Drosophila melanogaster: one gene and its partners. The protein of the gene in region 2 interacts with the protein of the main gene of each other region in a pairwise test. Each region holds a gene or a part of one and is shown on either strand. Other genes may lie near its edges. The genes, in order: whe, Argk1, CG42495 and Cys.

Region 1 (7,680 bases), on a different chromosome or scaffold from region 2:
CTCTTTCGCAATGTTTTTTTTACTTTAATTCCAACGTTAAATTGTGCTACCATTAATCCATTAATCTAATAAACAAACTTAACTTTTTACACATACCTATTAATTATTTTTTTTGTTTTTAATAACGTTTAATAACCAAAAAAAAAAAAATAATAATAACCAATATATTAAAGCTCAAAAGCAGGATACCATTTAGTAAATGGTTGTCTGCGTGCATTCTTGTAAGTAGAAAGGGAATGCAATGGGTAAGCCGTAAACAAATTTGCATTTGGTGTGCTAAATGTTCATTCATCATTCATGAGCAATGCAAATGCTCATCGTTTCGCTCTGTTTGTTAATGTCAAGCGCAAGTAAGTTTTAAAAGAAGCAGGCTATTTTGTCAAAATAGTTACTGGTGTAACTGGTGTATGTGATATGTATTTCCTCTTATTTTTTTTTTTTGGCTACGCAAATGTTCTAGAAATAAAAGCGAACGTTATTGGCCGTGGAGGTAAGTGAAATTTCATCAAGGTTTTTGTTTGTATACAAAGTTCGTCTTCTTTCTAATAGTATGATTTACATGCATCGTTCTCTCAGCAACCAACGACCCCGAATATTTTCTAGGAATTTACGCAACTGTCATTTGCAGTGTTGAAAAGTGTTTTTGTTCAATTATTTCCATCCGATGCCAGTAGCGTTTCGGTTCTCTCCGGCTTCACCGTTTCGCTCGCTCGCACATATGCATACCATGAAGTTGTTGTTGTTAATTGGAATAAATTGCTTCGGTGCTTTATTTAAAGAGGAATTTGTTTTGTTGCAGCATCGTACAACAAAATGCTTAATTAAGTTTTTGGTCTTGTTGCTTCAATTGTTATTTGTCTACACTTTTTTCAAATGCCTCTGGCTCTGTGTGTGTGTGAGTGTGGAAGCGTCTGCGCGAGTGTGCAATTGAGAATGCCGGTATAGAACAATGGCTGTTTAGAGCTGCTTTACACACGTAGAAATGATACCCTAAATGAGTTCTTTGAAAACATCCGTCCGTCAGTCCGTCCGTCTGTCCGTTCATACGAACGGTGTTATATCCGGAACTAAAAAAGCTAAAAAAATTAAGATTTGGTATAGGAACGAACACTTAGTACCTTTTATTTCCTTGATCTTTATTGTTCGTCCATTTTACACTCGATCTCCCGTGGAGGGTTACTCCTCCGAAACGTCACCGTTCCCAGACTAGGGTTAACAGGTGCTGGGCTGCCCTTGCTCGTCGCAACCTTCTGTCGCGGCCGGTCCCGCCAGACGCCTGTTCCGCTCCTGCAGATGCTCCGTGCAATCGTCCGGCTCACGCCACAGTCCCTGTACCGAGTCAAATGGACGGGCCTGCTCGACAGCGTTGTATCTGCTGTCCTGCGGCTCGTGTTGTCCTGATCGATGTGGGCTGCGCTGCTGGGTGCTATACTCGTTGGGCTGGGAATTATTGTCGTCCGCGGACTCACGGTAGTCAATGGTTGCCTCTTCCAGGCTATCGCCGGGCGAGATGACAACGCGTTAACCAGACGTCTGCTCTGACTGGTCGTGCCGGCACCACGCCTGCTCAGGCGATCGCTTGGTCTACGTTACGAGAACATTAAAACAGTCGACACGGCCTTCACCACAATCCCACCACACACGTGGGTCCTTGCTAGGATTTTGCACTCCTGCTCACACGATAGCGGACTCGCCGGGCTAAAGCCAGGGTCTGGTCTCAATTCGTAGTGTAGCAAGGCGACGCAACTTAGCCCTATTCGGAGACTTTTCGTGCCCCGAACGTCTCGACCTAGCGATCTTGTTCCTTATTAACTCTTAGTGCTACAGCTCCCTTGTTGCGTCGAACATTGACTTTTCAGCGCTCGGCCGGCTTATGTATGCCTCCCTAACCCGCTATTCCTCGATATTTCCAGTCTCCAGAACCAAACTGCACGGTTTTACCGTTATCCAGGTCCAAAGTCCAGCTTGGTACCGTTGCTTTCCTTAAATCGGCACGCCGACGCTCTCAGTTCTCCTGTAGTCCCGCTCTACTTTGTTCCGTCTCACTGTTTCTCTCTCTAACTCTCTTTCTACAGACTCCGTTCCTCCAAACTCTCTTCCTACGGAATCTGTCTCTCCAAACTCTCTTTTGTCCAAATTGTACGTTTCGCACTGTCGTTACTAAACTCTTATTAGTGCGCAACTGGTCGATTTTCGTTGCATTTTGAGTGAAATTAAAATAGCCACACTTAGTTTTTCAGCTTTTTGTTTTCGTCGTTTTTTGTCTGCGATTTTCACATTCTTGTTGTTGCTTCCCGGTGGGCGGATGCTCGGCGTGTGGGCCCTGTAAGGGTTAAGCTGCTAAGCCACTGTGGGCAAAAAGCCGAAAGAAAAACAAAAGAAAAGTTTTATTTGCATTTTTTTGGCATTTCGCTGCCAAAGGAAAGTGAAGCGAAGTCTGCAGGTATGCGATGCGGCAATTCCTGGCCCAGAATCCAAAATCCAGGATCCTTCTGCAGGATGGCTTTCCGGCCCAGGGGAAGGTCCCCGTTCACGTGAAACTTGTTTCATCTTGAAAAGTACAACACAAAAAAATTAAATAAAATAAAATGCGGGGAAAAAACCAAACTCATTTTACACAGATTCCTCGTCGTTTCCACTTTTCAACTTCCTTCAGCCAAGCCACTCAAACCCATTTCTCTACATATAACCAATTGAAATGAATTTGTATCCTGTGGACACACACACACACACACACACAGCCGCACGCATGCAACAACAACAAGGAGAGCAACAAGGACGAAAGAGGCGAAAACTTTGCCGACAAACTTTGACTTTGGTTATTGTTACAGTTTAACTTTGTTGCCTTTGCTATTCATCGTTTTGGTCTTATTTTGGCAGTCACTTTTTTGACAGGATATGCGCTATCTGATTACCCATTCGAAAATTATATTGTACATACATATGTGTTTTTGTTGGATAAAAAGGGGGATATATAAATTTAATTTTTTGAAACCAGTTATCGGTGGTTTTTATACAGTTGCATAATTTATCAGTTGTCACAATTATCATTTCGAAATATCCTTTGATTTGTACCTAATCATTTAAAGCCATTTAACAAATAGTTGTTATCTTAATAGCTTATTATCTAGTTGCCTTGTTAGTTACGTAGCTTTACGCTCTTTGAAAGTAATATTTTATGCTGTTCTTTTTTGCTTTTAATTCATACGTACAATAGGTATTTCCAAGTCGTGTGGGTACTTCCTAACGCCTTCAGCTGCTTCAGCTTATTGTTGGTGTCTTCGCTTTGTTGTACCGCTGTTGCCCTTGTTGCTTTTGTTTCGCCCGATGTTGCTGGTGTCGCCAAACGCAGACGTCGCCGTCTTCTGCCTTCCAAAAAGTGGGGTGGCAGCTGGAGGGGGCGTGCCAAAGGGAAACTTTTCAAATAAAATGATTTCTTATTTAGGCAACCGATTTGAGACACGCCCCCACACCCACACCCAGGCCCATTTCCATTTCCATTCCTCGGGCAGGAGCAACGCAACCATTACTCGGAGTTCGAAATGGAAATCGGTGCAGTTAATGGAATCGGTGGACGGTTTTATATATTGAAATAAGCAGAATATATATCTTTATTTAAAGATTTTTGAATGTTTTTACATGAAGGACTCGGCGATCGAGTTTCTAGGCGGACGCCTCACTGGAGGACTCGCTGGAGCTCTCCTGGGAGGAAGAGTCTTCGGAGGAGGATGAGTTGCCACCTTGGGGAGGTCCTTGTGGGAGTCCCTGGGGAGGTCCCTGAGGTATTCCCTGCGGCGGCTGGAGTCCTCCAGAGCCCTGAAGTGGTCCCAGACCTCCCTGCGGAAGTCCTGGAGGACGACGTCCTTGGACAGCAGCCAGAGCCACCATGGCGAGCACAACGATGAGGAAGATTACACGCATTTTGATTTTGTAGATGATTGACTTAGCAAATTCAATTGACTTCACCAACTGCACCCGAGCCCTATATATACCTCGGAGATCTCTACGGAATCGGATCTATTGCAGGTGTTTTGCAATTCTATGTTTTCGATGGACAAACAGAAGCATTGTGCAAACAGCGATGACCCAAGTGAAGTTGTGTAAACCCTTCATAATGGAAATACTTGGCCAACTGGTGATCTTAAAATATTAAACAAACTAACCTCGTGGTTGTGAAACTTTAGATTCATTATATTTATACTTACTTCCTAAAGCTATTCCGGGTGATCTAATGAATAAAATGTAGATTTATTGGAACAGCTTTAGGTTTTTTCGTTTCTTTTTTATTTTAGCAAAGTATCTAACTATAAGATTTCTGTTTCATAGATTTTTCTTTTCCGTAAATATGCATTTTGATTTAGCTTAAAGCTTTTCTCGGCACACCCAAGATGGGGAAATATAAAAATGGCAATGAAATAAAGTCGGGCAAAACAATTGAGCTGAAACCTTAAGCTCTTTGCTGGGATTTGGCCAAAAAAAGTGGAAAGTACTTGCACTTGTCTCGCCCCCACAAATCCCACACTCCGCGCATTTCTAAGATCCTGGAGCATTTGCCACTTGGATGATACACCTAACTTATAAAAATTTCTGCACATGATTCCGCTTTATTGCTTTATGACCGTGTGTGAGTTCTACTTGGAAATTCATATCTCTGGTACTAAACAAATGTTTCAACATTGAGCTTCGGCTTCTTGCTTTCCGGTTTTTTGCAACACGAGCCTATTTTCAGGACCTTGCATTAAATTTCGTTATTTCGTGCTCTTTTTTTTAGCCAGCATACATTTTTTTATTTATCGTAGTTGAGAGCTAACTTTAACCCTGTTTTTCTTAGTGTTCGTTCTTATGAATATTTCAAAGTACTGCCAGGCTCAAACTTTGACATTCAGACTGAAATTTGCCTTTATCCCGCGGAGAAGTGCACGCACCAACTCTCGAATATCCACATATAGTATCCTTGCAGCGAGTGTATAGCTTACCCTAAGTGTTAACACTTTCACTCGCAGGATTTCTTTTCGCTTATTTTCCTGTCTCGCAATTGCCGGCATGTAGTGTTGCTTATGAATCTATTTACAACAGCAACAAAAGGACCTTTTCTGTAGTCGTAATAACCTTTGATGATCTGTTTCAACGGCGCGTGCTGTGAATTGTCAATAAAAAGGCAATTTCGACGCTCTAAAACCAGCTCGGTGGACTGGATATTCCACTTCAGCACCGCACTTTCCACTTTTCCTATGTGGCTGCCGTTATGTGGTAGCTTTATGGAGAGCATGGGTGTACGACAGGGACTCGCAGGATGCGATACAAAGCTCTAGATGTCTGGATTCATTTCTGAGTTCAATCGGAGGGAACAGGATAATCGTTATAACCTCAAGAATTGGCGGTCGCTTCAATTATGGCTTGATTGATATATGGCTCTTCAGATATAAATTACATTTTCTGTACCATCAGTTCATCTAAACTTAATTTCTTATTCGTGTGCTAAAAAATTTAATGAGAGCTTAAAGGATACGGATATAGATATTAGCTGATTTTTCACATGCCAGCTATTAGCTAGTAGTTATCTATACCAAGTAGCAGTCCACAGGACTGCTGCCAAGGACGATTAGAAAGATTTCCCAACGGGTTCTGATTATTGGGGTAATTGGCCGCCCGGACGTTCCCTTGATTTGCGGTCAGCTGTCGTTGCCATCGGTCACATTTTGATTAACCCGAACGCAAATCCACTCACACCCTCAGATAAACACTCACCGGAATGCTGATGAGGCATTTAGTGTCTGGTGTCGAAGTCCGGTTCGCATGGTCATGGGATCGCCTGCCCCACCTCCGCATCTTCATTCGCATCATCCGCATCCTCGTTCGTTCGCATCCGCATCCATATCCATCCGGAACGTACTGCTAATGCGCCAAACGGGGTCTAATAGGCCTGATTCGATTGCACAATCGGTCAGTCCGCAGGCCAAGCTCCAATTTCGAGTTTCCACTCCCGAAACTGGTGAATCTGGCGAAACTACAAAAGCTCCCAAACGCCCATTTCCAACCTCAAACCATCAGTGAGCTCGGTTGAGTGAACTGGGGCCAGAAATGTTATTATGCAAAATAATAACAACGCATCGCACTATGAAATTAAATTTTGAATCCCAGCAGTGAGTAAACTTAAAATACAAGTTATTGCAACACCACAAACCGTTTCACATGTGTGGATCCCAGCATGCGAGTTGCCTCATGACTGCATTCGACTCTGACTACGACTACGACTTCGACTCGAGTCCTACGGATGCAGATGGTCTTGAGGATGTGAGTCCGGATGTAAAAGCGGATGCGGATGCGAATGCGAATGCGGATCTGTTCCGTGCTGCCTGCTCATTTCATGCCATTGAAAGACCATCGATGGCAGGGCATCCACAGTATTCGGTCAAGTAATACAATAGTAGTTCCTATTTAATAACCAAGAAACTAGTATGATACCGTTCCAACTGTGTGTCTTATCATGTGCTATATGATTACAGATTAACAATTTAGGGATATATATATATATATTTATATATATGTATATTTAAATGCAGAAATATTTTATCCATTCTGCCTTGAATGCCAAGCAGATCTCAAACTATTGTAGTAAAAACGTAACGAAAGCAGCTATTAGTGGTTTACAGTCAAGATGATAGTAACGACTGAAGATTACCTGTATTGAGCACACTTCGAGCTCTTCCTTATTTTCCCCTTTATTTAACATACAACCGAATGGCAGGTATACTCGAATCGATTGGATAAGCGTATTCCCGATTCGTGTTGATGGTATCTGGGAACCGCCTCTGTTTTCCCGCAGCAGTTTTCTGGCTCTTTTCATTCCGTTTTTTGGGGCCGTGGATCGGGGATTCCCCTCGCTGTTGCATTTGCCGTTCTTGGCTCGTTTTCGTTTTCGTGGGAGTTGGAAGACAAATTGATTTCATGTCTGAAACTTCTTAAGCGCCTGCACCGGGGGAATCCTTGGCGTCCGCCCCCCCCATTACCTCCACACCTCCTTCTGGTTTCCGTCTGTGTCTGCGGCCATCCGTGTTGTGTTTGTGTTTTCAAATTTGATATTGCACACATGAAGCGCAGCCAGAGCAACCTACTGAACCACCGGCTGGATTCGCTGCTTTTTTGGGGGCTCCTTCTCTCGTAGCAACTCGTACGTACGTACCTACCTACATAATACTTTCTGTCGGTCCTTTTGAAGTTGGTGTGTGCTGAATTTGTCTAGAAATTGATGCGCATGCCGTCGAAACAATATAGCGAGACAAGAGGGCAAAGGCAACATGTTGCAAAGGCTTGCCAGCCCGGTCCCCGATCCCCCCTTCCCCCTCTCCCCCTTTCCCCTTCCCTCACCACCGGCCACCGATGCACCAGGCCCCTTTCTCAACCGCCCCTCCAATTTTGGTTGCATGCTTTTGGCGAATATTTTGCGGCACGTCGCTGCGGCTTCGCCTCCGCTGTCATAGACATGAGCAATAGACAGATACATACAATCGAGCACATGTGCACTCGTGCCAAAAGTACACTGATCGAAAATCAATGGAACTGGGAGGAAGTTCTTCGGGTATTGTTTCTCCAGCATTTCCAGCATTGGCTAAGAGTGCTAGAGTGCTATCTTTCCATACATACTTCTAAGTCGTAAAATATTGCGATTGATCGAGTACA
Region 2 (9,794 bases):
TTCGGGGTCGGCAGCTAAAGCGTCTGGAAGTCTCCATGATCGATTGGTCAGGCGCTCCTTTGCTGAACGCCTACAATGAAGTGAGTTCTTTAAAACGTCCTGTAACTAAACGAGTAACTTAATTGATTATCCTTCAGGAGATAAGCACCTTACTGGGACAACAATGGTCACCCATCAGCTTTGACAAAATGCCGCCATCGTTGTTCTACGACAACGATTTACGCGATCAGTTCGTGTACGAAATGCTGCGCCAGGATCTCCGCCAGTAAGTGGTCGAAATAGGAAACTACTCAAATATAACCAAAAATTGAAGCAGTCATCAAGTGAACGAAAGAAATGAAAACATGACACGTGATCAACTCGAGCGCATAGAAATTAATTTATAAATTGCAAAACCTAATTACGTAGCTAAACAAAAAACCCAAAAGAATAATGTAAGCAAAAAGAAAATTTAATCGTCATAATCGTCACCAAACCTTTTGATTGGCGAGCATTTCATAGATGTTAAATTTTCCTAATTTCTTAGCCTTTGTAATCAAAATCGCGATTAGCCCTTGTTTATTAGTACAAAAGCGACAGATCAAGAGCGACAGGAATGTTAGGAGCAAAGCAAAAGACTTGAGCACTTCACAAATTTATGTAATTATGTAACGGGGCGAGATGAGTTTGTTGAAACCTGCTAGAGAAACATCATTTTATAAGCAACAACAACTGTGATTCAAGCGAATGCAGCAGATGCAAATGCAAGCCAGTGTGAAAGCAAATGCTATACCCAGCTCTCATACAAAGAATAACAAAAACGACAACAGCAAGTTGTTAAGCGAATTGTCTAGTTAGCTAAGTTTAAAGTAACAAAAAGTGTTGAAAATGTTTGTAAAACCAAAACTACGACCAATGTCAAATTGTTTGCTCAAAACGACGCAATTGGCACAAATTGTTAACCTTTGTAGTAGTGTGAATAAGTACAGAATCTGGCGCTCAATTGTGATAAACCAACAAACAACAACATAAGCAAATGTAACAACAACGAGAGCTAGATCCTCGTTCGCTAAGCGCCGCCATTTGTGTAGTTTAAAGTGATATTACCAGCAACAGCAAAGCAAAATGTAAGCAAATACAAAACACCACACAGATATATATGTATTGTATGTAATAGCCAAATGGAGCTAAGGAAATAGCTGTCGTGCGTGTGGTGCATGCGTTGTGGCCAGATAAACGGGCCAAAAAGCCAGGCAATTATAAGACCCAAATCCAACTCTTAAGTATTTTGTAGCACAGGCATTAATTATACAACTATGTACTATATTTAACCTATGTTTGCACAAAACAGCAGCGTGTTGTTACGAGCCGCGGCTCATCCTCCGCAGACATGCTTGCCGACCAACAAGTACAACAGCAACAATGACAACATCAACAGCAACAACAACAAAAATGGTACCTGAAGATCATGCCGAGCATTTAGAGAACAACCGAACAACAACCGCAAAGTACTTGCTCAAATGTAACAATCTAAACAAACACAAAATCTATTGAAACAGAAGACTGAACGATAAAGATGGTGTTGACCTTGTTGTCAGAGCAAAACGGAGGATGGCAATTGGTTTCTGGGACAAGTAACAACCGCAAACAAAATGCGATCTCACAGATAACTCCTACAACTATCCAATCGACCATCTATATTTGTATGTATGAATGTATCTATATGTAACCAATGCATGTAATCATTTTTTATGAACTGCAATAGCAAATATTATTTTTTGTAAAACGAGTTCAATTCATGTGTAAAGCGCGAAGCAAACTAAGAATGTTTGTCAAACAGCAACCGCAACACGGCCACAGAAAAGTCAAATCAAGAACAGAGTCTTGGGTCATAAAGAGATTGCAAATCGACGGCCTACATTATGTAACCAGACCTGTTTGTATGTGGCTGTGCATTTAATTTAAGTCTAGTACGTACCAAACACAACAACCAACACCAACAACAAATGTGATAAAAGTGTCATGCTGCTTCCACGAACAACATAATGTGCAAAATAAGACCTAAGATACTGCACTATTGAAGCAATGAGAACGGTAGTAAGCATTGGAAAGACAGGGCCAGATTAATGGGGGATATAGGTTATATGGGCTCTATTTTATAGCTCCCTGATACACCAGTTTCTATAGTATTATTTTCCAAATTAACCGCCTAATTGAATAGCTACAATTGAATTCGAAGTTGCCTTCAAAAAGTACTCACAGCGCGTTATTAAATTAATAAGAAAAAGAGTAAACTCCTAATATTGTTTATCGAGGAGTTCGATTTGTAAAAAGTTAAAGGAAAGTGCTATTAGCCAAAATAATGTGTCATAAAGCTATAAAATAGAGCTAGGACTGTAAAAGATCGTTAGCTCAATATCCAGCCCGAACTAATTGTCAATCAATGGATTCATTCAATTACAATCAACGTAAATGAAACAAGTATTAAGTTTTTCTGTTATACTAGTGTCACTTCCAACGCTGCTGTATATGAGTAACGTTCTTTTGGTATACTTACTACAAAACAAATATATTTTATATGCCATTTATTGTATTTAAATTCGATGAGAGCGAAAAGAATTTTGTAAACCATTCCACAACCACAACAAACCAATGCGATTTATGCTAACGTATGTACTGATCCAGTAGCAACACTACAGAAGGAGGAAAAAAGACCAACCAAGTTTAAGATAATTGTTGATCGAGAATAACAACAAGTCAGGGTGTTAATATATGTATGTATGTAGGGTATGCTCGATGTCGACATTCAGGGGAACAACAAGTGTGACATGGGCGAGGAGGGTAGAAAATCCGAAAGACGATATGTATGACAGCCGTGCATTAACAGCAATGTTTATATATATGTATATGCAAGTTATGCTTAAAAGTTATAAGAGCAAAAGTGAAGAAAGCTGTGATACAACAAGATCCAACAAAAAGGGCAAACGACAACCGACAACACACAAAGATAACACCAACACATTAAACTACAAAAACAACAGACAAGCCAATTCGAAACGTGTGCGACCAACAAAAGTATGTTAACAACCTTTCCGGAACTAAGAACCAGTATAAGTACCGACCGGACCATCTGAAATGAAATGGCCAACGAGAAGAATTCAAAATGAACTATAGGAGATCGGATCAGATCCAGTAGTAGCTAGCTTAGCGGGTTAACGAAGGACGAACGCGGGGGAACCAAAGTTTTGAACCGAAGTGTTTGAGTGAATCAACAGCGTGCGGAATTAGATTGATATTCCAGTCAGGATGAAAAGTGAAGATGAGAATGATTCAAATGTTAAATTATATATCGATATGTAGTAAAATAATACACATACAAAATGCACATAGCTTAAAATATATGAAAGCAAGCGTTTTATTCAAAGTCAATTTCCATTTGATTTGCAATGATTATGTTTTGTGCAAGATTTTAAAGCTTAATCAACCGAGGCCAACAGCAGTTTGTGTGGCATATGCAATATCATTACAATGTAAGACAACCAAGATATATAAACCAATTAAAGCGTAGCAAACAAAATGCATTCAATTGAAAAACCAATAAAAAATGTTTGAAACTTAAATCAAAATTGTGCTCCTAATTATTTACGGAAGGGGCTCGAAAGTTATCCTTTTCAAGTGCTTTAATCTTTATTTTCGTTGCATACTTCATGGGTTGTGTTATACAATATTTAGTGCTGTAGGCCGAAGGTAGCCGATTAAAAGTACATAATTCGTGATAATAAAAACTTTTTGTCAACAAAAACAGAACACCCACACTCGCAGGAACTTCCGCTGAGCAACGCAAGCGCTCCAGGATGTTTTCGAGCTTTTCTCAGTCCTTGAACTTTTGACCTTGTTTCTGGTCGCCTTTCTCGCTGCCGCGGTTATGTAAGCAGCTGTACGTATCATTATGCAACCTGGTCCACGGGATTCACGGACTCTGTGCGCTTGCCATTGCATCTTTGCCGTTGCAGTGGCTCTCAAACTGCAGAGTCTTCGGCGAGCGATAAGACCCCAATCATCATCACCCAGGCCAATTAAGTGGGCTTTGCAAAATAGATAGCGCTGTTGAATGAATGACTGAACAGTACGCTCGAGTTTATTATCTGGATTTATTTGCCCACGACAGACAACCGGCGAAAGGCGTCAGCAGCGCTTTTTCGACCAAATTTGATAGTTTTGGCCTGGGCCAAACGCTGCAGTAAGCAAAATAAATAGTAAACATTGAACTGATAGTGCCAATTGGAAAAGTGACTCGTCCAGTGCCCAAAAACTGTTTCCGAAAATTCTTTTCTTTTATTGATTAGGCAGCCTTTTGACCAGGTTCAACGCGATTATTGACACATAGCGGTGGCATAGCGTAAGCCTATGAGTAACATTCCGAATCGGAGAGTACACGGAAATAAATATTGAAATCGTGCACAGAGAAAAATAATTAATTAGTTACAGAAAATTCATAGATTTACTATTAGTTATTACTACATTGAAATATCTACATTTAATTATTTGCTAGTGTCCTCTAATAAATATGTATATCCTTTATAGTAGTTAACTCTGAACCCTCTCTGTTGGAATCTGATTAAAGTCTTCTAAGTTTTTTTCGGGTGTACCTGGCACAGAACCCGTGGGTTCGTTGGGAAACGAATCTCGTGAGAAAAGCTTCGTCGCAAGTGCAGCCACAGCTAGGAAACATTGGCGTCGGCGCTCTCCGTGCTCCCCATTCTCTTTGGGGCTCTCTCAGTTGGATGCCGTCGTAGCCGTAGTCTCGTCGCTTTTGCCGCCAGTAGAGCAGTCGATTTTCGCACGGAGCACGACAGTCGAAAAAAACTTGAAAGAAGCATTCAACAGCAGAAGAGTGCCAGTCGAGAGAAAATTAATTTTGTACCTTTACTCAAAATCAAACAACACACAATCGAGACCAGTCCTCGATATTTGACCAGCTGTGAAGCATTTAAACGAAACGAACCTTTTGATATACGAAAAAATCGAACGGAAAACCCTCCGGAAAAGCACTTGCAACTTTTTCTAGTCGTTTTATTATCCAACACAGGCACAAAAGGTGAGTGCACGCAGAAGGGGTCATGCTGCAAGTCCCCAGTTGTTTGTTATGTGTGGCATGCTGCAACAGTGAATGAGTGTTATGGGAATGAGTGTTCTTAGGCACCACCACCCACCCATTTTCCACGCCCCAGCCACCCACTCATACGTTTGCCGTGCGATGTGACGTAACTGTCAGAGTCTGAGTGTGCTATTACCATCGCAGATTGCTCATACGCCGCGTGTGCAAAAGAAAACAAACGCAGACGGAGCTTCATGGTGAATTTTGCTTGCCTTTGCTCAAATCCGAGGGATAAACAAAGCTCAGGGGACTGCAAACAGTGCGCAAAATAATCATATTTAATTGATCGATGGCAGCACTATCTAAATTTAGAACCCTTTCGACCATTGGGCGCCATCCGGTGCACAAAAAGTTCCCCTTTTTCCGAATTGATCTGCAGTGCACAGAGGAAAATTTGCAATTTGTTTGCTTGTGAGAATACATATTAAATGTTATGACATATCTTAAAAATAAACTTTGCAAACCAAATACTAGGCAGGTGCCTCAAATATTTCATATAAAGAAACTTTCATTTATAACTTTTTAATTGAGGCAAACTTTAATAATGTTGGCGTTAGTAGGCTTCAATTGGGGAGGAGTTTAAATAAGAAATTCAGAAATTCAGAAATCAAATTTATGACAAAACATTTTCATTTTCCCATTTATGAGGTTTTTTCTGTGTACTGTTTCCCATCTCTGGCCGTTTGCCCAAAAGTCTCGACTTCACGTGCCTCGGCGCTCAGCGTTCTGCGAATTTGGCATTCTGCATTTTGCATTTGCAAACCCATGCGCGCTTTTGTTTATAAATAAACCTTGAATAATGCCGGCATATATTCACTGCTGTCTTTTCGCCTGTTCAACTGTTTTTTTATCTGTGTGCCTTGGGTCTTAATTGAGCTCTGGCTCTCTGGAACTTACTTTTCTGATGAGCGCCTCGCTCGATTGAGTTTTTTTTTTTTGCATTGCTTGACGGCGACGTCATTTGTTGCGCTTTTCGAGGTCGCTGGGTGAATCAGATTCAGTGCCAGTCCAACAAGTGCATGTGGTGTGGAAATTGCCATTTATAGTCCAATTAATTCGTATACATTAGCGGTCAAATTGCTTTGAAAATCACTTAACTATTTACTCATTCGATCTTCTCTCAATTTCAGCTAATACAAAATGTTCGCTTTGTGGTATTTAACTTTTGCTGTCGATGAAATACGGTAAGTGCAAAAGGGGTTTTCCACAGTTTGGCAAGCACTGCTGTGCCCCCCACAGGGCGGATGAACGTTTTGTGTTGCCTACTTTTCGGCTGGGTAGTGTTAATGGTGAATTGTAGTTTGGGGGCGTAATGAGATCCTTTTTGGAGTTAAGCTTAAAAATATTCTGCAATTCAGAAAAAGGTCTAAGTACGTTTTAAATGAAAAGTTTCTGGTATGTGATTCGAGCTTTGGGGGATTGGGTAATACAAATAAATTTACTGGCTTTTAATGGTTATGCAATGCTAATAACAACACCTTCACCAAGCAAAGCTACTTTCTTGCATTTCATAAATCTTGGCGATAACAGTAGTCGCACTTTTGGGACGCAATCATTGCAAACCCGATAATCTTATCGCTATCAGTTGTTGAATTAGACCAATTTAGCTCTACGTTTCCGTGATCGTTATGGTTCGAAGGTGCTAATGCGACTGTGTGTATAATTTTCCTGCATTTGGCAAGAAAGTTAGTCACCGAGCGGTGTCACATGATGAACTATCTGTCCGTTTTCCCATCTCCCACTCCCCCGATCTCGTCGAATACCCCAGCCCATAACAACCGGCTTTTGTGGCTCTAACTCTCATTCGTGATAAGTGCAATCGGCTGATCGCACACATTCAAACATTCTCTGATTTGCACATGTGCAAAACAAAATTCGCATTTTTTTGGCAAAAAAATAAAGAAAAAAGCGTCCAGTTGTTATCTGCCGGCAATTAGCGTAATAACAAAAGTGATAATTGAAGTTTGGAGCGGTATTAGTTTTTTTCGTTCTCATCCATACAGCCGGCATTTGGGGCCGGTATTTTGCCGATTTGCCGATTTTATGCCGGGTGGAGCTCGTTTGTTTGCTTATCAATTTGCCGCACGAGTTTTTCGTCAGCTATTGCCGTTTTGGCCTACGTGACAAGAGAAATGACGACGCCGGCCCAAAGAAATGGGGGAGTGGAGAAAGTAATTTCGTAACTGGGGAAATGGGTGGGAAATAAGAAATTGTGGTTACAGTTCTAAATTACTGCCATTTGTGGGCATTAAAGCACTGAAACATTTGCGTCTAAGCAACACGCCCACCAATAGGCTAACGCCTTTTGGCAAAGTACAATAAATAACTGGCTCTATTTTGTTTTCTTATCTATAGGGCATTATAAAAGAACTATGATTAACTCTATAACAAAAGCTAGAAAGTGCAGTATTTTCATACTTTTCAAATTTAAATCAATTTCAAAAACCAGGGCTGCCTTAGATCCTTCCAGTGTGACTCTACGAACTACTAAAAGGCTTCATTTACTTTTAATTATATTAAAATGCATATGATTTACTGCAATTACTGCATATTGAAAAATCGTTATTTGCGACTATATTTGTTTTCAAATATTTATCGAAATGTTATGGAGTATAGGGATACACCAATGATTTACAAGGGCTGTCAAAGTTTTCAATGCACTAAGGAGTGGTCACACTGCTTGTAACTTTACATTGTCCATTTTACTCTTGTCATTTGGCGAATTAGGACGCGTAGATCGCAAATTAATTTTATTCTTCGTCTAAAAAGTCTTATTTTCTATAAAAGCAATTGTTATTTATTGATTTTCAACGGTAGGCGGTGCCTATAGTTAAAGGTGGGTAATGTAATCATGGAATATTAGCGCTAAGCGCGCATTTCCTTGTTTCACGCTTCGCCGCATTTATTCTGGAACTTTCTGTAAATCGTAGTGGAAAAAAGATGCTACAGTAGACATTGCATACAAGCGCATGTTAAAATGTTAGTGACTAAAAATATAAATTATCAAATGCAAACAGTGAAAAAAGCATCATACCTTACACATTTCTCATTCTCTTATCAATTTATCCATTTTTCATTTGATATTTTATTTGCAGTGCACTTTAGTTTTATAGATTCCCTAATTTGATATTTTATTTATTCATTTTTTGTTTTGTTGCCATTTCCCCTTTTCATTTGTAGCAAACGTTTAGCTTGGTTATTTAGTTCTAACAAGCCAGCAGCGCCTGCGCTCGACAACAAGCCAGCGAATCCAGCTCCCGCCAAGGAATCAGCACCAGCTCCTGCACCTGCTCCAACTCCAAAGCCCGCTGTAGTACCACCTGCTCCTAAACCAGATCCCCCAAAACCAGCGCCAGCGGTAGCCAAACCCACTCCGGTTCCAGTTCCTGCGACAGCTCCCGCTCCACCGAAGGAAGAACCTGCTCCAAAGCCCAAACCGGAACCTGTGCCATCACCCGTAGTTGCCCCGCCAAAACCAACTCCTCCCCCAGCCAAGCCCAGCAGTCCGCCAAAACAAGCCGACAAGATGCCGATCCCACTGCCAAAATCCTTGACAGAGGCCAATACCAATGGCCAAAATGGCAATGCCGCCAATGGCGGTAATGTGGATGAACTGGTGTTCGGTGGCCAGCAGGCCGAGAAGGTGCTTCCAGCGGCCAAGGAGGCCAGCAATGACTTCATCAAGGGCGAGACCAATGCCTTCATCCAGTCGATTAAGGAGGCTCAACAGTTGGGCGAGCGGTAAGCTTTAAATCCTTTCGTTTTATGTTTTGTTTATTTAAGTCTTTACTTTAGAAAACCCTTGGTTGCCTTTGCTAACCGATAGATTCTATTAGCTGGTATCTCCTTATTTCGGGCACTTTGTTACAACATTCTTCATTTATTTCCGAAAAATATGTATTTTTAAATTTCATTTTTCCTCATCTCCCATGGCGAGAAGTGGGTTCAATGCACTCTGGTGACTTCTCGGCGAAAATAGTTGCCATGCGGCAGAAACTCAACCGCTTGGCGACAACGGTGCTGCAGCATCAGCAAATTCGTTGGATCACCATGATGATGGCGATGATGATGATGATGATGATGGCTATGGGTGGAGACCACAATTTGCTGTTATTTTTGTCCGCTTGGGCGGACAGCTCGGCTCACATGGCGTCGAGTCTTTGGGATCTTGTGCTGGTGCTGCATGTGCAGTCTACGGTTTATTTATGAACCCGAACTTTGCCATGTGTTTGCTCACCACTTTCTCTAATTGTGCACCATTGATTTGCCATTAATATTAATCGGAGACAAACCTTGGCGCACGCAAGCCCTGGACTGGACACTTGTCCTTGCCCAGGTGTTCAAGGATCTCTGCCCGACCAGCGAGGTAGGCAGGTTCATTGGTTTTTGGCAGCCTGCCCAAGTGAAATGGAAATGGAATGGGCATTGGTGATGATGTGGCAGTGCCGGGCCATTATGAGACCTGTCGCGTCGCTGTTGTCAGGTCACATGATCTCCCCCATGCAAAGTTTATTTATATTTGGAAACGCAGCAGAATGTGGCTGCTGTGCCGCCACAATGTACACACATTTCCTTACGGATTCATTGTTCATGTTCAGCAAATTAGCCCGGCAGCAGCGGGCATATTTGCCTCCTGCAGCGAAGGGATCCCATTTTA
Region 3 (7,911 bases), 9.6 Mb from region 2:
AGTATTTCAAATAAACACATATAGTACATACGTTCATTTAGATGTTAGTTGCCATAAACATAAGAATACACTTAAACGTTTTAACTGGATATTAACAAATCAATCCATCCGCCTTTGTAGACATCTGTGAAGATCCCGAAATCAGGGAGCGAATCGAACAGCTGAAGACGGAGCAGGAGAGCAAACGACTGGCCGAGGCGCAGCGACGACGCGTTCGACGCTCACAGAGCAACAACACAAGGCATTTACATAACATTTATGAGCCATTAAACATAACCATTAAAACTAACTATGCTTTCCACAGAGCCCAATCAGTGCGACGCACTAGTTTGCGAGACAAAACGCTGACAACCAAAAAGGATGCCGTCGAGGAGACCCGGCTGCGTCTGCAGGCGCAGGAGGCGACGGACTCGGAGGCTCCCTCATCGGCAGGGGATCCGCTGACCAATGGCTATGGTTACGGAAACAACAACGGAGAGAAGCGACCCTCGACGGGCAGTTCGAATGGCCAACCACTGCCGCACTCCAAGTCCGCCGATGCGCTGGATAATGCCACCGCCGCTTTGTCGGCCAACGCCACACATTCCTATCCGTCGCGCCGTCCACCGGATGGCCGGGAAAACGATGAACTGCTACGCCTGAAAGCTGCAGGTGCTGCGGGAGAGATGCAGCGAGCCACCTCGGCGGCGGCCGTCATTCTCACCGAGAAGGGTACGGCGGCCAGTGCCGAGGCCGTTCAAATCCAGTCGTCGAAGGAGGCTGCCAACGGCAAGATCAATGTCCAGGTCACCGTCCTCGTGGGTGAGTCAAGCGCCCTTGGCCACGTGTCAGGCTTGCTTCCGCTTTCTCCTTTCAACCAAAGCCAACCATTTACTCAAGCACCCCATCCAGACGCCACCTCCAACCATCCTGTTTGGCTCCCAAGGAGCGTCAACGTATCACAAGAGTTCTGCTTAAGCGCCATTCTGTCCCCGTGTCAATGTCAATGTTTAATGTTTATTTAACGACTCTACTAAAATGGAAATGAAAATACTTCCAACAAGCAAGCAGAGCTAACAGCATGAGTAGACTATAGAATGACGAATGCCCTGTAGGAAATGATAATCGATATCTTGGTTTGAGATTTTTAATAGGATAGCTTCGTGAGATGCATAGCTTAGTTGAGATATATTTTATGGAAATGACAGTCATTGTTGTAGTAAGATACTTTTTATTTCATTATGTTGTAAATATGCTTTGTAAATGACTTCTTTATTTAAATGCCTAAAGTGGAATAGCGTAAGCATATATTACTATTTATGTAAATTATTGCCATTTTAATAGCTTACTACACTAAATGGGTTTTCTGATACTAGAAATCGTACTTAGAAAACAGGGGAGCATGGCTGCAATAAGCATTAGCATTTGACTCGCATGTAACCTCCATCCCATCTACCCGATCACTCCCAATTGGTCAATGGGTATCTGCTAACTTAGTTCTCGGGAAAAGAAGAGAAGAAAAGTAAAATAACATTTGCTTGTTTCCGTTTCATTCTTTTTTGTTGTCGTTGTTGTGCCTCGTTTCGCCCGTTCTGTGTCGTCTGCCTGCCCGCATCATCATCAACAATAAAAACAACAACCACCGCACCACTAAACACCAAACACACCCAACGCCTTGCCAAAAACTTCCAACATCCAGACACCAATAGCACGCACCACCATCAGCAACATCAACAGCAGCAGCAGCAGCAGCAGCAACACCACCACCAGCAACACGTACTGCTGTTGCAGCAACACCAGCAGCTTCAGCAACATCAGCAGCAACAGCAACAGCAGCAGCAGCAGCAGCATGTTGCCTTGGATGGCTACAGCGCCACATTGGCCAATTTGAAGAAGCAACGCTCGCTTTCACGCACCGCCAATGTCCTCAATACTTTCGAATTGTCATCCCAAACAGCTAGCAATGCCCATCCAATTGCAGCAGCTAATGCCACAACAACTAATGGTTCTGTTTTAGGAGCCGGCGGCAGCAGCAGCAACAACAACAACAACCTGAGCACCAGCAACAACAACAACAACGGATCCGCACCGATCTCGACGCAGCCAACATTGGGTCACATGGGCGCGGGAAGCGTGCTATCCGACTTCGAGGGCTCCTCGCCGGCGGGCAGTTCGCTGAACAAGTTCAGCGGCATCACTGGCGACGTGGTCACCGATAGCACCAGTTCCAGTCGCAGGTGTTGCGTCCTGATGTAGAAACTTAGCGAACTACTAGAGTCACAGGGTATTAGAGCAGCCAGAATTGTCAGAGGGATAGGCCATTTGTTAAATGGCAAGAAAAAAGTGTCTTTTTATTAGATTAGCCGTATTCAGTGAGTGAATTGTTGAATGTTGATTACACAAATGCATGTTGGTTTTGAGAACGGGGTTCGATTCTGTGAGCTCCTAGATAACGGCTGAAAGTCGTTGCATTTTCCTAGCAGACACAACAACACACTAAAGACACACACAACCAATTATACGAAACAAATTTATACAAATATACAACCATATGTATACATTTTAAAGAATATTAAAAGAATTACGTATAAAATAATTGTGAGCAGTTTACCTTAGGCGATATATAACAACTAACTAAATCAAAATGAAAAAACATCAAAAAATATTTATATAGCAATGCTAAGTAAGAACCTAACTTAATAGATTTGCTTGGAGTGCATTAGGAATATCTGTGTTTCCGTGTGTGAGTGTTACAACCGAAACAGGCGAAGTATTATGCAACAAGTAAATATTTAACTAAATATATAGTACGATAGCAAAATTGTAGTTAAACCGTGACAGCAAAGTAAAGCAAAGCAATGAGACGAAATGCATAGCACTCAAGCAATTTCCACATATAAGTGTCTAAATGTTTGAATTGAAGGAATGTTAATAATGCCAGGCGGCATAGAGATTTATTTTTTAATGCAACTACTTTGCTCTGCGTTATGTAAGTTGAGTTTTGTTGAGAGGTACAAGAATATATGTATTATTTATGTAGCAGCGGTCTTTGTATATAAACCTACACAATTCCAAAAGATGCAAAAACAACGCGCAATTAGCAAATGAGACTTTTTCGATGAATGTCAAGGCATTAGCTGAACGTTTTGTAAAATAAACAAATGAAATACGAAAAAATTACACACAAATTTGATTTGATTTTGCGCCAGTTAGTTTTTTATATTCCTGTGCTTATATTTCTTATGAAGAATGAAGTTGAAGTAAATATCTACTCTTTTAAATCTCGCGCCAAGGTGCTCCACCTGGCGGGATTTTAATGAACCGCAAGCTTGTCATATGGAAGTAAGTTGGCAGCTTTGCGCATCAGCTGTTGCCTCGTTCGACTTTTGTTTACATTTTTATTGGTTTAAACTTATAAGTTTAAAGATCTAACCTAATGGAATCACTCGCAAAATATCGATACAGTTTGGTGGCTGGCTCCTTCGCAGCTGCAGGAAGCTTTTTCGGAAAACTTCCCAGCCACCTGAGCGCCCAAAAACTACTGAATACTTCGCAAATAAATGAAGACTTTTCTTATTTAGGCAAGATTGTGATTTCTTCAAACAAGCAAAATGTTTATAAATTTATAAAATTTTATTTTATTTATTAGAAATAGCATTACTTCAGCTGCTGCCACTAGTGTTAATGGTAACATGCAACGTTTGCAACTTGCGTTTCTTTTTGAAGGCCCTGCAAATGACTGAACAAACTTTAACGTGCGTCGTTTTAACTGCCGCTTCGAATTATGTCTTATCGGTAGGTGATCCACCGATCTATTTGTTCAATTATGATTACTGTTCGTTATATAGTTTGTCCTAGGTGCGCTTGTTTATCGGGAGCCACTGACAGTACTATCTGGCATCGGAATAACTCTCATTCTGGCTGGTCTTTGGTTTCTTTGCGACGGAGGAACAGTCGAGTCCGAAAAGCAGGACAAAATGGAATAGTAGGAATGGGATTTGCTTAAGATTAGCTTCTTTTATACACATTTTTCATTTGCCATATAACTTTCTGAAGCAGGGATAAAAATAGTTAAAGAAACTTAATTTTCCATTTGTAACTTTAAAATATAAAAATGTTGGGAACCCCAATTAGTCCAAAAAAACGAATGGTTTATATACTTTTGTTTAATGTATGTACTGTTTTGCAAATACATAGTTTTCATTTCATTTATAATGCACTGTTAGTGTGCACGCTTCTTCATTCACGCGGCAATAATTACAACTATTATGTTTTACGTGGTTTTGTATTTTTGTTTTCATCGTTTGTGTGTAAAAGTTTGGCAGAACAAAAAAAGGTGTTGAAATGGGATAGAGCATGACAGTAAGAGCACAAACTATAAATATATTTATCCCTTCGTTTATATATATAGGTAATAGTAATTAATTTTTATAATTCAGAATCGTTATTTAATTGCTAAGACGTATAAATACTTTTTATATTCTTTCTCTCGACATCTGTAATCATCAATCAGCTTCAACGCAGCCAAACAGACAAAAAGTAAAATCAAGCAAGAAATGGCAGATCCAAGTTACATACAAGTTTTGCCCATCTGTCGTTTGTTTTCCTTGGACGAAGTAGTGTTGTGTCCTGTCCTATCCTGTCTGGGAGTTTTAGAAACCCTTGGAGCGCTTACTTTCCTGTATTTAGTTGTAATTCTTTCGTGTTTCTAACAACTATTTTGTTTTATTATTAATACATTATCGAATAAACCAAAATCAAGGGAAATAGGTATAAATCGTATTGAAAAATGCGCACGAATTGATTTGTGTGTCGGCTTCATTTTCGATTCCCTAGTTGCGTTATAAAGGATTCTTTTTGATAGATTTCCATTTCTTATGGTTGAGAGTGGTTTGCGTAACAATAATTGTACGTCTACGTGGCCATTACTTGCATGTTGATGATTGGTTTCCTTGTTTTCTGTATGGAGGTTGTGTTTATGGTTTGCATGAATTGTATGTGTGTTTTGTTTGCGGGGTTAATACGTATTGTATGCTCAGTTTTTGTTCTCCAGCCCGAGTGGCATGCGTTGCGACTGGTTCTGACGGTTTATGTAGCCACCACCACCACCTCCCTGGTTGCCCGCTCCGCCACGACCACGATCGCCCATGGGCCTGCCGCCGCCATACGAGCCATTTACATTACGCTGCTGGTTGCCACCGCGCTGGCCTCGATAGCTTCCACCGCCGCCGCCGGAGGATTCGTAGCGCGACTCCTTGTTGTAGGTGCCACCGCCACCTCCTCCGTTCTGGTAGTAGTTGTTGCCTCCACCATTGCCCGACTCATTGTTGCGGAAGTACACACCGCTCGAATTGCCCGAATTGCGTCCGTTCGTGTTAGATGAGTTGCCGTATTGACGCGACCGGTAGTTGCCCCTGTCGCCGCCGTTGCGCCGCTCGTCACCTCGCCCTCCCTGATCGCGATCCCGGTTATCCCTGTCTCCGCCACGACGCTGATAATTGCCAGAGTTGCGGCGTCCGTCTCCTTGCGAGTTGTTCCAATGGTTGTTACTCTCGTTGTTATCGGCATAACCGCTATTGCCTCCGCCAGTGCTGTGGTCCCTGGGCGTGGCCCACTCCTGCTTGTGGCTGGTGTTGCTGCTGCCATTGGAGGCGGCGCTACTCATGGCATTCATCTCCGAGCTCCACTTGGTTGGCGGTGCCGGTGGCGTGGCCTGGGTGGTCTCGCCTTTGAGCACATTCGTCAGTGCTGCTGTGGCGGCAGCATTTGTATCATTATTACGGGCATGCCATTCATTGTTCTCGACATCTCCACCAGCACCGACACTCGAGGAGCTGTTCACAGATGACGGCTCATCCAGCTGCTGTAGATTTTGCTGCTGCTGCTGCTGTTGTTGTTGCTGCTGTTTCAGCTGCTGCTGGATCTGCTGTTCATAGGAAACAACAGCATTTTCGTATGAGAACCCTGAGGTCACATCGCCCGCCTGCATGCCAATGCCCTGAGGAGCAGGCTGCTGCGGTTGTTGGGTTGGCAGACGCGGCATAATCAGCATTGGTTGCGGCTGCTGCTGTGGTGGCTGTTGACGTTGCTCGTGGATCAGCACCGGCGAGAAAAGCTGCTGCTGCTGCTGCGGACCCTGTTGCTGGGGCTGGGGCTGCTGCGATGGGAACGATTGGTTGGTGAAGGTCAGCGTCAGTATGGCCTGCGTTGGTTCTTCGACATGGTTGGGCTGTTGCGGCTGCTGCTCAAATACCAATCCCTGATTGGTCGGAGGCGGCGGTGCTAAAGCCTCAGGATTGTCCAGTTCACTGTCCTGCAGAAAATGGAAGCGTCCTGTGCCCAAGACCTCCGCCAAGGGGCGCGAATGCTGCATAAACTGCTGCTGCTGGGGCGTTTGTGGTGCCTGTATTCCAGGACCTTGAGGATGCTGCGGTGGCTGCTTGAAATAGTTTTGCTCCACGGCCCTCACATTTGGAGCAAAGTGGGTTGGGTGTGGTTGCTGCTGTTGTGCTGGTGGAGCAGCTGTTCCTGTTTGCAAGGCCTGGAGATTCACGGGGCTGCTTAACAGCTGGTGAGGATGCGGCGGCGGCTGCTGGGGCTGCTGCTGGGCTGGTGGCGCTGGAGCGTATAGAACATGCACTGGCGTGGTGGTTCCTCCGGCCTGAGGAGCTGCCTGGTAGACCTGGGTCGACACCTGCTGCACCATCGAGTTCTGCTGATGTTCCAGGGATGGAGCTCTCTGGTGCTGCGGCTCCAGAAGATGGCTCGGACGCTCCTGCTGTTGCTGGTACGATTGATGCTGGTCCAGTTCTGCTTGCACGCCCAAATGCAACTTGTCTAGTCCCTCCTCCAAAGAGTTTCGAGCCGATGGCTCAGATGGCAGTTCCGCGTCCAGTTCCCCCGAGCCATCGTTCAACAAGTCACCGCTTTCTCCATCGCCACTTCCAGTTCCACTATCCGTGCTGTTGGCTACCGCGTTCTCGGCCAGTGGAACAAGGTAATACTTGTCCAGGTACCCACTATCCTGGATCTGCTGGAAGAGAGATCGCAACTTCTCGAAGGACACTTCTCCGAAAGACTTCGGACGCGCATTGATGGTCGAGTAAAAGAGTTCGGCAGACTTCTGGGCAGTGGCAATAAAGCTTACATCGTCAGCGGTTTCCGGACGGCGTGTTTGCGTCTCAATGAAACTAAAAAAAAAAAAGGGAAATGGATTGCGGCTTAATATATACCAAAGGGAAATCGTTTAATGTGCGTGTTGATGCGTACAACTTCTCCAGCAATTCCAGTTCGGTGTTTTCCAACTTTTTCGCTCCGTTCTCGCCGTTTAGAAAATCGCTGCGCACTTGATCGTCGTTGAAACAGTTGAGCACGTTCTGAATGATCAGAACCTCCCGAATCTTGGCCGTTTCAGCAATTGTCTTTGCCAGGTTATCCTTAGGTAGAATTTAAAATGAACATCAGCGAAAATTAGAAATTTAACGAGCATACCTTGCGCGCCTGCTTCTTCTGCTCCTTTTCGGCCTCCTTGGACTGCTGCTGAATATGCTTGGCCAGCTCACGGGCAAACTCCAGATTGGCCAGGACAGCATCGTATTTGGCCACTGCCGAAGCTTGGTCCCCGCTCAGTTCCTTTCCGCTGCTCTGTATAGCGCGATAGGACTCCAGTTTGGTCTAGATAAGAGGGATTGATGAGTCAGTTTTAGTCACATTTGTTTGGCTGCAGCGTTTATAATCAGAAATATATACTATATATGTGAAATGTGCTAGCTTTACAAGCTTATTGCTGTCGTTAATGCATTCATTTTTTCTTTGAAAAGTTTTATGGTTTTCCATTATAAATTACATTTTATTGAGCTTCAAACATTTTGTATGGCTACAAATGCCCTCTTCGTAAGATTTGCGGTTTTTACTATTTGATGTTTTTAATTA
Region 4 (7,489 bases), on a different chromosome or scaffold from region 2:
AAGAAAGCAGCCAGTTCATTGTGATTTCCGACAAGTCGGTGGAGGACTCTAGGCCATACATGGAGCCTGAGCCGGCTCAGCCTGTGGTTACCACGTCGGAGTTTATTGCTGTCGAACCGCCTCCTCAGCCAAACTTTCCGGTGCTGGATCACAGCAAACCTTTTGTGTGTCAGCAATGCGGATTGGCCTTTGCGCGGGAAAAGGCACTAGTTTCACACACCAAGGTAATACTCAACTCGAAATTTTTCCCTAAAACCAGCTTAACCAGTTCATTGACAAAATCATCCACTAATTATTCCTTTTTTTCTTCGTTAGAATCACCGCGTGGACTCACCGTTCGAATGCAACCAGTGTCAGGAGATGTTCTGGGACAACAGCAGCTTGCAGGAGCACCAGAAGACTCATCAGTTCGAGGAGAGCAACTCGGAGTACGATCCTGCCTCAGCGGAGGAGAGCGGCAGTGAATCGGAGGCAGACGAGCAGTTGTATGGCGAATTCTATTGCAACGAATGTGGGATCTCTTTTCATCGCCAGGATCTACTGCGACGTCATGCCAAGATGCACTGTAAGCCATCGGATCAGGCAGCTGTTGGTAGCAATTCCGATGTCACTGCTGGCGGAGACGTGGAGCTTGCCAAAGATTCTTCTGGTCACTGTTGCAACACTTGCGGAAAGTCCTTTCCTAGCGCTTTAGAGATGCTCGCCCATGCAGAAATCCATGCTAGGTTCCCGCCCTTCAAGTAAGTTCGGTCAAATGAACTTGATCACGAGCAGAAAACCGCATTTTAAAGGCTCATTTTGAATAACTTCAGGTGCGTCCTATGCGGCATTAGCTTTTACGAGGAGCAGGCGATTAAGCGTCACCTGCACACTCGCCATCCCAGTGAATTGAATGCCAATTCCTGCGTTCTGTGCGGCAAAGAGTGCCGCGATCGCAAGGCTCTGATAAAGCACGCCTGGGACCATTCGCGCGAGAAGTGCCATTCGTGCTCCAAGTGCGGAAAGAACTTCCACAACAAAGCGCGTCTAAAGCGGCACATGGCTTCGCATCGGGACAAGTCGGTTGTATGCGAGGTGTGCCAGGAAGAATTCCCCGACGGTCGTACGCTCTCCAACCATCGACACTCGCACAGCACTACTACGCCTGGCAAGCTTTTTCCGTGCCTCGAATGCGGCAAGACATTTGGTTCGCGCAGTTCCCAGCAGATTCACGTACGGATCCACACCGGTGAGCGGCCATATGGCTGCCGCTACTGCTGGAAGGCTTTCGCGGATGGTGGTACTCTGCGGAAGCACGAGAGAATCCACACCGGCGAGAAGCCATATGCCTGCTCCGTCTGCCCACGCGCCTTTAACCAACGGGTAGTGCTGCGGGAACACATTCGCTCCCATCATTCTGGGCTGGATGTAGCGCGGAACACCTATCACTGCACAGTCTGTTCCGAAGACCTGGCATCGTCCAATGACCTTATTCAGCACCTGATCCAACACAGTGATTCAAACACAGCTAAGCAGCGACAGCCCGTTGTAAGTAAAATCCTTTGTTTCGAGAGACTTGATAAATTAAAAGAATTGAATTGTTTTTTAGACGGGACCGCGCAAGTACAAGCGTCGCCGTAAGCTACAGCCTCACGAGATCGCTCACATGCGGGCGGCGAACAAGCATGTCAACGGTGATGAGGAAGAGGCCATAGGAGAAGGCGATGCAGAGGAGTGTGCCAGTGACATCGATTTCTGCGACTTTGATGTGGAGAACGTGGACGATATCTTCGACATGGCCGAATCACCCAAAAAAGAAAAGCGAAAGAGGGGCTCGGCAGCCACAAAAGCTGATGCCAAACCCGTGACCAATGGGAAAGCGGCAAAACCTGCCCAAGATAAGGGCAAAGCTAAGCCAAGATATGATTCCACCAGCAGTCAGCAATCGGATCGCCTTTGGGAGGAAAAGTTCCTGCACGACAGTCAAGTGGCTCTGTTTCAGATCGATTCGCTGGTAGTGGTCAACGACACTCATTTGCAGCCTGCTAGCTCCGCTGTGTCTGCTAACATACCCAACACAAGAGGTGGATCGAAGCAGCAGGGAAAAGTTCAGGCGAAGTCTGTAGAAGGAGCCGAAAATTTGAATAGCTCAGCTACCACATCTGACACTACATTCTCCGCCTCCACCTCCACTGCCAGCACTCGGAGCCGCAAGAGGGCAGCAACCACTAAAACAGCCAGCAAAGCACCTCCTGCCAGTAATTCGCGACCTCGAATGATTCACACAGAGAAAGCCAAGGTGACAAAAGGAGTTGGCGGAGACTCCACTAGTAGTTCGGCAAAGAAAACGCGCTCGAAGACCTATATAAGTCGCACGGAGTCGCACAATCTGAGCCTCGACAAATCCCGCAGCAGTGCCTCAAATATGGTGGATGACTATGAAATCATTTCTCCAGCTACTCATCCGCCAAATCAGATCAGCTCCAGTCCCTTGCACATCAAACAGGAGCAGGAACAACAACAGCGTGTTCAACTTATGTACGATGATAACCTACTGATAGATGCTGCTCTGCTCAGGGAGAAGACTTATGAGAAGTTTAATCCGAGCATTGTTAATGATCTGGAGGAGATCCTCCGCTCTCCACTGAAGCACGAGAGAAATTCTCGTCTTCGCTTTACCAGCGAGTCATCCACCACGCCACAATATTTGCACGAAGAGGAGCAAAACCTTATAAAAATTGAACCAACTTCTCCGGATCTGCGGGAAATGTTGGAGGGTCAGCAAAGAGTCATCGCTCATAGCGGCAGCACTCCTTCGTCCTCTTCATCTGCTAGAACTTCCAGACATCTGCGACAAATCACTGCCAATGGTGCACGGGCAGGCAGCAAGAGAACAACAGGTGGCGTAGCCAGCAAGACGTCGGCATCCCCGGGAGTGGTGGCCAAAAAATCGAACACTGCCACCAAGGTGAGCAGCAGCAGCTCATCCTCGTACCTCTCGTACGGGGTGGATTCCTACAATGTAAACGTACCTGCCAGTGCCAACAACGGCGATGTGGGCAGCGGATTCTTTTCCATCTCGGAGGTCGTTTCCGCAGCTGACGCCGCGGATGCGGCTGCTAAAGCGGCGGCAGCTGGTAAATCGGAGCGGAAAACTCGCAGTTTCGAGTGCGAAATGTGCTCGGCCATCTTTTATGATCGCACCCAGCTGCTGGAACATGTGCACATTCACATTTAAATGGAAGCTACCTAAACCACTCGCCCGGAGCCTTGTATTTTTGAAACATCTTATCCTTATATACAAACAAAATCGGAGTAAATTACCTCAAGGTATCGTGCATCGAAAAATATCGTTGATTTATGCGTTATTTAAAATATGGAACCTAAACCTATTATAGAGAGAATAGTTCGTAAGGCTTTTAAGTTTGTACCTCAGCTTTTGTTTTGAAGAATTGGTATGCTGGAATAAATACATCATTAAATGGTTTTTCATTACCTTAAATTTTGCTATCACGTATAGATTGAATCTGATTGATAAGATGGGCTCATGTAACCTTTTCTGATGTTTGAAATCTCTCCTAGAAATCTTAAATTTTCTTGGAAACTGCGATAGTGGCATGTAATATACTTTTTATAATTGGTTAAATGTTTATAAACTTGCACATGTGGGTCTTAATACATATCGACTGACCTTTGTAGTACATACTCATAGAAACACTGATAAGAGCATACCGGAAGTCTGTGTGTAATTTGAAGCCATGATTATATGTTTTCATATGTGGTGTACGGTGACTTGTTTTCGGCTCATTTGCACAGATTTTCAATTAAAGCCGCAACTGCTAACTGAAGTAGAGATCAAAACGATTCTCACAGAAAAGCGGCTTTCGCCCATCTGATAAATCAATTAATTACCGCCAATGAGCCGTATTAGAATATAAGTAAACGATTTCATTTGCATATGCATATTTATTAATCATGGAAATAGATTCTTATTTAAAGGGGGCGCACCTTTGAATATTGACTATAAATATTTGAATATTGACTATAAATATTTGGATAGTAGCTGCGAAAATATCAGGACACGTAGATACCGTAGTTTATGTTCTAAAAAAAAATATTTCGAATCTTAAAACTATTTTTTCACTTATTTTGCCTTTCTAAGCAATTTTCTTAAATATTGTAAACCCCGAGTGAGGTTCTGGTTATTGATAGTTCTGATGATGGGCCAGTCAAGTCTTGGATCGATGGCATAGAGAGCCTATTGTATTTTTCCATTGTTGATCTCCCACTGAGATGGCAGGTATAAAATGGGCCACATCGCCGGGTGTTCATCAGTTCTCTCAGAGTCGTCGAGCGAGCAACATGAACGTAGTAAAATCTTTGTGTATTTTGGGTCTGGTTCTCGTCAGCTTGATTGCCACCCAAGCAGCCGATGAGCAGGTGGTAGGCGGTGTCAGCCAGTTGGAGGGAAACAGCAGGAAGGAGGCTCTGGAACTTCTGGATGCCACTCTCGCACAGTTGGCCACCGGAGATGGTCCCAGCTACAAGTGAGTTAGAACTGAGTTCCGAATTTAAAATTCATACTAATTGATCTGCTGATCTTAGGGCAATCAATGTGACCTCTGTGACGGGTCAGGTCGTAGCTGGAAGTCTTAACACCTACGAGGTGGAACTTGACAATGGATCCGACAAAAAGCAGTGCACCGTGAAGATCTGGACTCAGCCATGGCTCAAGGAGAACGGCACCAACATCAAGATCAAGTGCTCTGGTGACGATGGCGAACTGGACCGCACCTGGTAGAAGATTCTTCGTGAGAATTGCCCTGAAAGAAATAATAATAAAAAAAAAAACAAGATACACGTGATTTAAAAAATGATTTTTGATTAATTTTCGGGGAACTATTGTTGCAAAGTATCCAATATATTGTTGGGAAAAATAATAGGAGTGTATAAATACTTGATTTGCTTTGTTTACGTTCCGTGCTAACCAATTCCCATCGCTAGGCAATTACACACATACTATACATATACATATATAAGATACTATATATTTATTGAGATAACAACCATAGAAGCTTTCACTCCAACAAAAGCTCCAGAAGCTGACTCACAATCGGAACGGAACAGAGTGATATCATTTCATGTTTTGGTTTTGGTTTTGTTGAGTTTTGCTACTATCGCCGCCATGTCCAACGTTCCAATTGTAGGCGGGATCAGTCAGCTGGAGGGGAATGAGAGGAAGGAGGCTCTGGAACTCCTCGATGCCACCCTCGCACAGTTGGCCAACGGAGATGGACCCAGCTACAAGTGAGTTAAGGCTAAACTCGGTCTAGAGCTTGCCACTTATTAATTGATTTTACTCCAATTGAAGGGCACTTAATGTAACCTCTGTGACGGGTCAGGTCGTAGCTGGAAGACTCAACACCTACGAGGTGCAGCTGGACAATGGATCCGAGATAAAACAGGGCACTGTGCAGATCTGGAGTCGCGCATGGCTAAAGGAGAACGGCACCAACATCAAGATCAAGTTCCCGGGTGAGGACGAACTGGACCACACCTGGTAGAAGGTTTTACCTTAGACCTACATACAGTTTAACTCTTATCTTAAATGTTATACATATGTTATATACTGGACTTAATTATAGATACCCTTAGGGGGGAACCATATTCTTGCGACCTCAGGTAGCGTACAGAAGAGAGCCTTACCTTTACTATCTGGGAGGATTTGTGTACATTTGGTTACATTAAAACATGATCCGATGGAAAAGGTTCTCTTGGGTTTCAGGTACAAGCCGGTGAAGTAGGTTATAAAACTGTTCCGATGTTGGTTAACCAGTTCTGTTGGCATAACCAGTTTGTTTATATCTCAATATATATATCTCAATAGGTGAATCGTATTATCTTTTCTCTCAACTATTGTGTGTGTTTAATTAGTCAGCGTGGGCGTCATCAGCGGTGTCAGTGGATGTTACAAATAATAATTCCCCCTTTCTTGCTGATAATAAGCTTGTTTTTTTTAAATAATCAGAAGACCTTTCGAAAACAATAGACATTAGTAATTTATCAGAAACACAACTGGCAACTGGTAACTAAACTAAAAGCGTCAGTAAACTCCACCCCCTAAAGTCATATATTCATTCTTATCAACCTTCATTGAATAATCATTATCTCTCGAAAAGTAGAAATGAAAACTTTAAACATTTGCTAACGACTGACTCAAATAAAGGTGTACTCACACAGAATGATTAGTCCATACAATGTTAATGCTCCTGACCTGGGCAAACAATTAAAATGATATCACAAAACGACAGGCCTGTGCAAAACCAAAGTAAAATATTAACCAATAAACTGAAGATTAAGTAAAAAAAAAGATTCAAAACAAGCGGTTTCAGGTTTGAGTGCACACTACTTGGCGCCTCTCCTTCTTTGGGGGCCGGTTGGCGTTGATCGCGAATAAATAAATATACATACAATATATTCTCGGCGAGCAATCCGATGATCTCGGTTTCCTCTATAAAAGCGGTCTTCTATGCGCCGTGTTTGCTCAGTTTGGAACAAGTGTTTCGAGGGAAATGCAGTCCGTGAAAGTGATCTTTGTTCTGTCTGTGACCCTGGCGGTTGCCTTTGCTAACGTGAGTTCGAGCTGATATTGTTATTATTTGATATTTGCCTGACTTGTCAAAACAAAAGCCGAGGTTGCCGCCCGGTGCCCCGAAGCCGCTGGATGGAGATGACTTATCCAAGGCTAAGGAGCTCTTGGACACAACGCTCGCCAAACTTGCCACAGGAGATGGTCCCAATTATCAGTAAGTATAAGGTAATTAATTTTGGAAAAATTTCGATGATAAACGGCAACAGAACAAGTGTAATCTTATCAATATAATTAAAGCATGACGTGATTTATTTTTGATTAGAAATAACAAAAGAATGAGAGATTTTAAAATAGTGTTCATGCTCGTTTCAGGGTAGTGAATGTGATCTCGGCATCTAGCCAACTGGTGGCTGGGTCGCTCTACAAATTCGAGGTGAAGCTGTCCAACGGAGCCGAGACCAAGGAGTGCAACGTAAAGATCTGGGACAGGCCATGGCTGCATGAGCAGGGGGAGGCCACCAATGTGAAGGTCCAGTGCAAGGATGAAGATGTGCTCGAGAAGACCTGGTAGGGCGTCATTGCTGTGTTTAACCATACAATTTGCAATACAATAAAGGTGCAATCTCTGGTGCTTGAGAAATGGGACAATAATTTTTCGAAGCTTGCCTACTCCGGTGACTCCCAGAAATGATTGTGCTTATATCATGAACTGTGATAATTAATTTGTGCGGATTGTGCAGTAACCAGTTTTTCTTTATATTTAAAACAAAATGTTATCACGTCTGTGTGAATAACTAGCTAGAAGGCAAAAACCAAACCCAAGACGTCTTAACCGATCTTTTGGCGATACTTGCGAACTTTCTTTAGGATATGCAATTTATTTATACATTTATTTTGTAGGCACAAAATTAAATGCTA

Evidence for each region.
Region 1: the proteins of Argk1 (region 2) and whe interact in a two-hybrid assay, tested with the Drosophila melanogaster proteins (one large-scale study listed by BioGRID).
Region 3: the proteins of Argk1 (region 2) and CG42495 interact in a two-hybrid assay, tested with the Drosophila melanogaster proteins (one large-scale study listed by BioGRID).
Region 4: the proteins of Argk1 (region 2) and Cys interact in a two-hybrid assay, tested with the Drosophila melanogaster proteins (one large-scale study listed by BioGRID).

The regions. Positions count from the first base shown.
Region 1 is NC_004354.4:21,398,797-21,406,476, forward strand, and holds whe (what else), read right to left. Parts: upstream 3,977-7,680; 5' UTR 3,922-3,976; coding exon 3,664-3,921; 3' UTR 3,543-3,663; downstream 1-3,542.
Region 2 is NT_037436.4:9,060,991-9,070,784, reverse strand, and holds the start of Argk1 (arginine kinase 1), read left to right. Parts: upstream 1-4,757; 5' UTR 4,758-5,077; intron 5,078-6,267; 5' UTR 6,268-6,277; coding exon 6,278-6,321; intron 6,322-7,836; exon of another isoform or gene 7,837-7,973; intron 7,974-8,317; coding exon 8,318-8,878; intron 8,879-9,794. Other genes in the region: CG4911 (uncharacterized protein), read left to right, coding at 1-80, 138-269.
Region 3 is NT_037436.4:18,664,020-18,671,930, forward strand, and holds CG42495 (uncharacterized protein), read left to right. Parts: upstream 1-3,341; 5' UTR 3,342-3,415; coding exon 3,416-3,560; intron 3,561-3,628; coding exon 3,629-3,774; intron 3,775-3,827; coding exon 3,828-3,965; 3' UTR 3,966-4,116; downstream 4,117-7,911. Other genes in the region: MYPT-75D (myosin phosphatase targeting subunit 75D), read left to right, coding at 121-241, 305-801, 1,679-2,235; Capr (caprin), read right to left, coding at 5,015-7,169, 7,249-7,415, 7,471-7,653.
Region 4 is NT_033777.3:14,566,461-14,573,949, reverse strand, and holds Cys (Cystatin-like), read left to right. Parts: upstream 1-4,305; 5' UTR 4,306-4,341; coding exon 4,342-4,526; exon of another isoform or gene 4,527-4,584; coding exon 4,585-4,780; 3' UTR 4,781-4,847; downstream 4,848-7,489. Other genes in the region: CG7987 (uncharacterized protein), read left to right, coding at 1-224, 316-740, 813-1,527, 1,589-3,217; CG8066 (uncharacterized protein), read left to right, coding at 5,165-5,286, 5,351-5,543; CG31313 (uncharacterized protein), read left to right, coding at 6,552-6,611, 6,670-6,785, 6,944-7,142; CG14852 (uncharacterized protein), read right to left, coding at 7,480-7,489.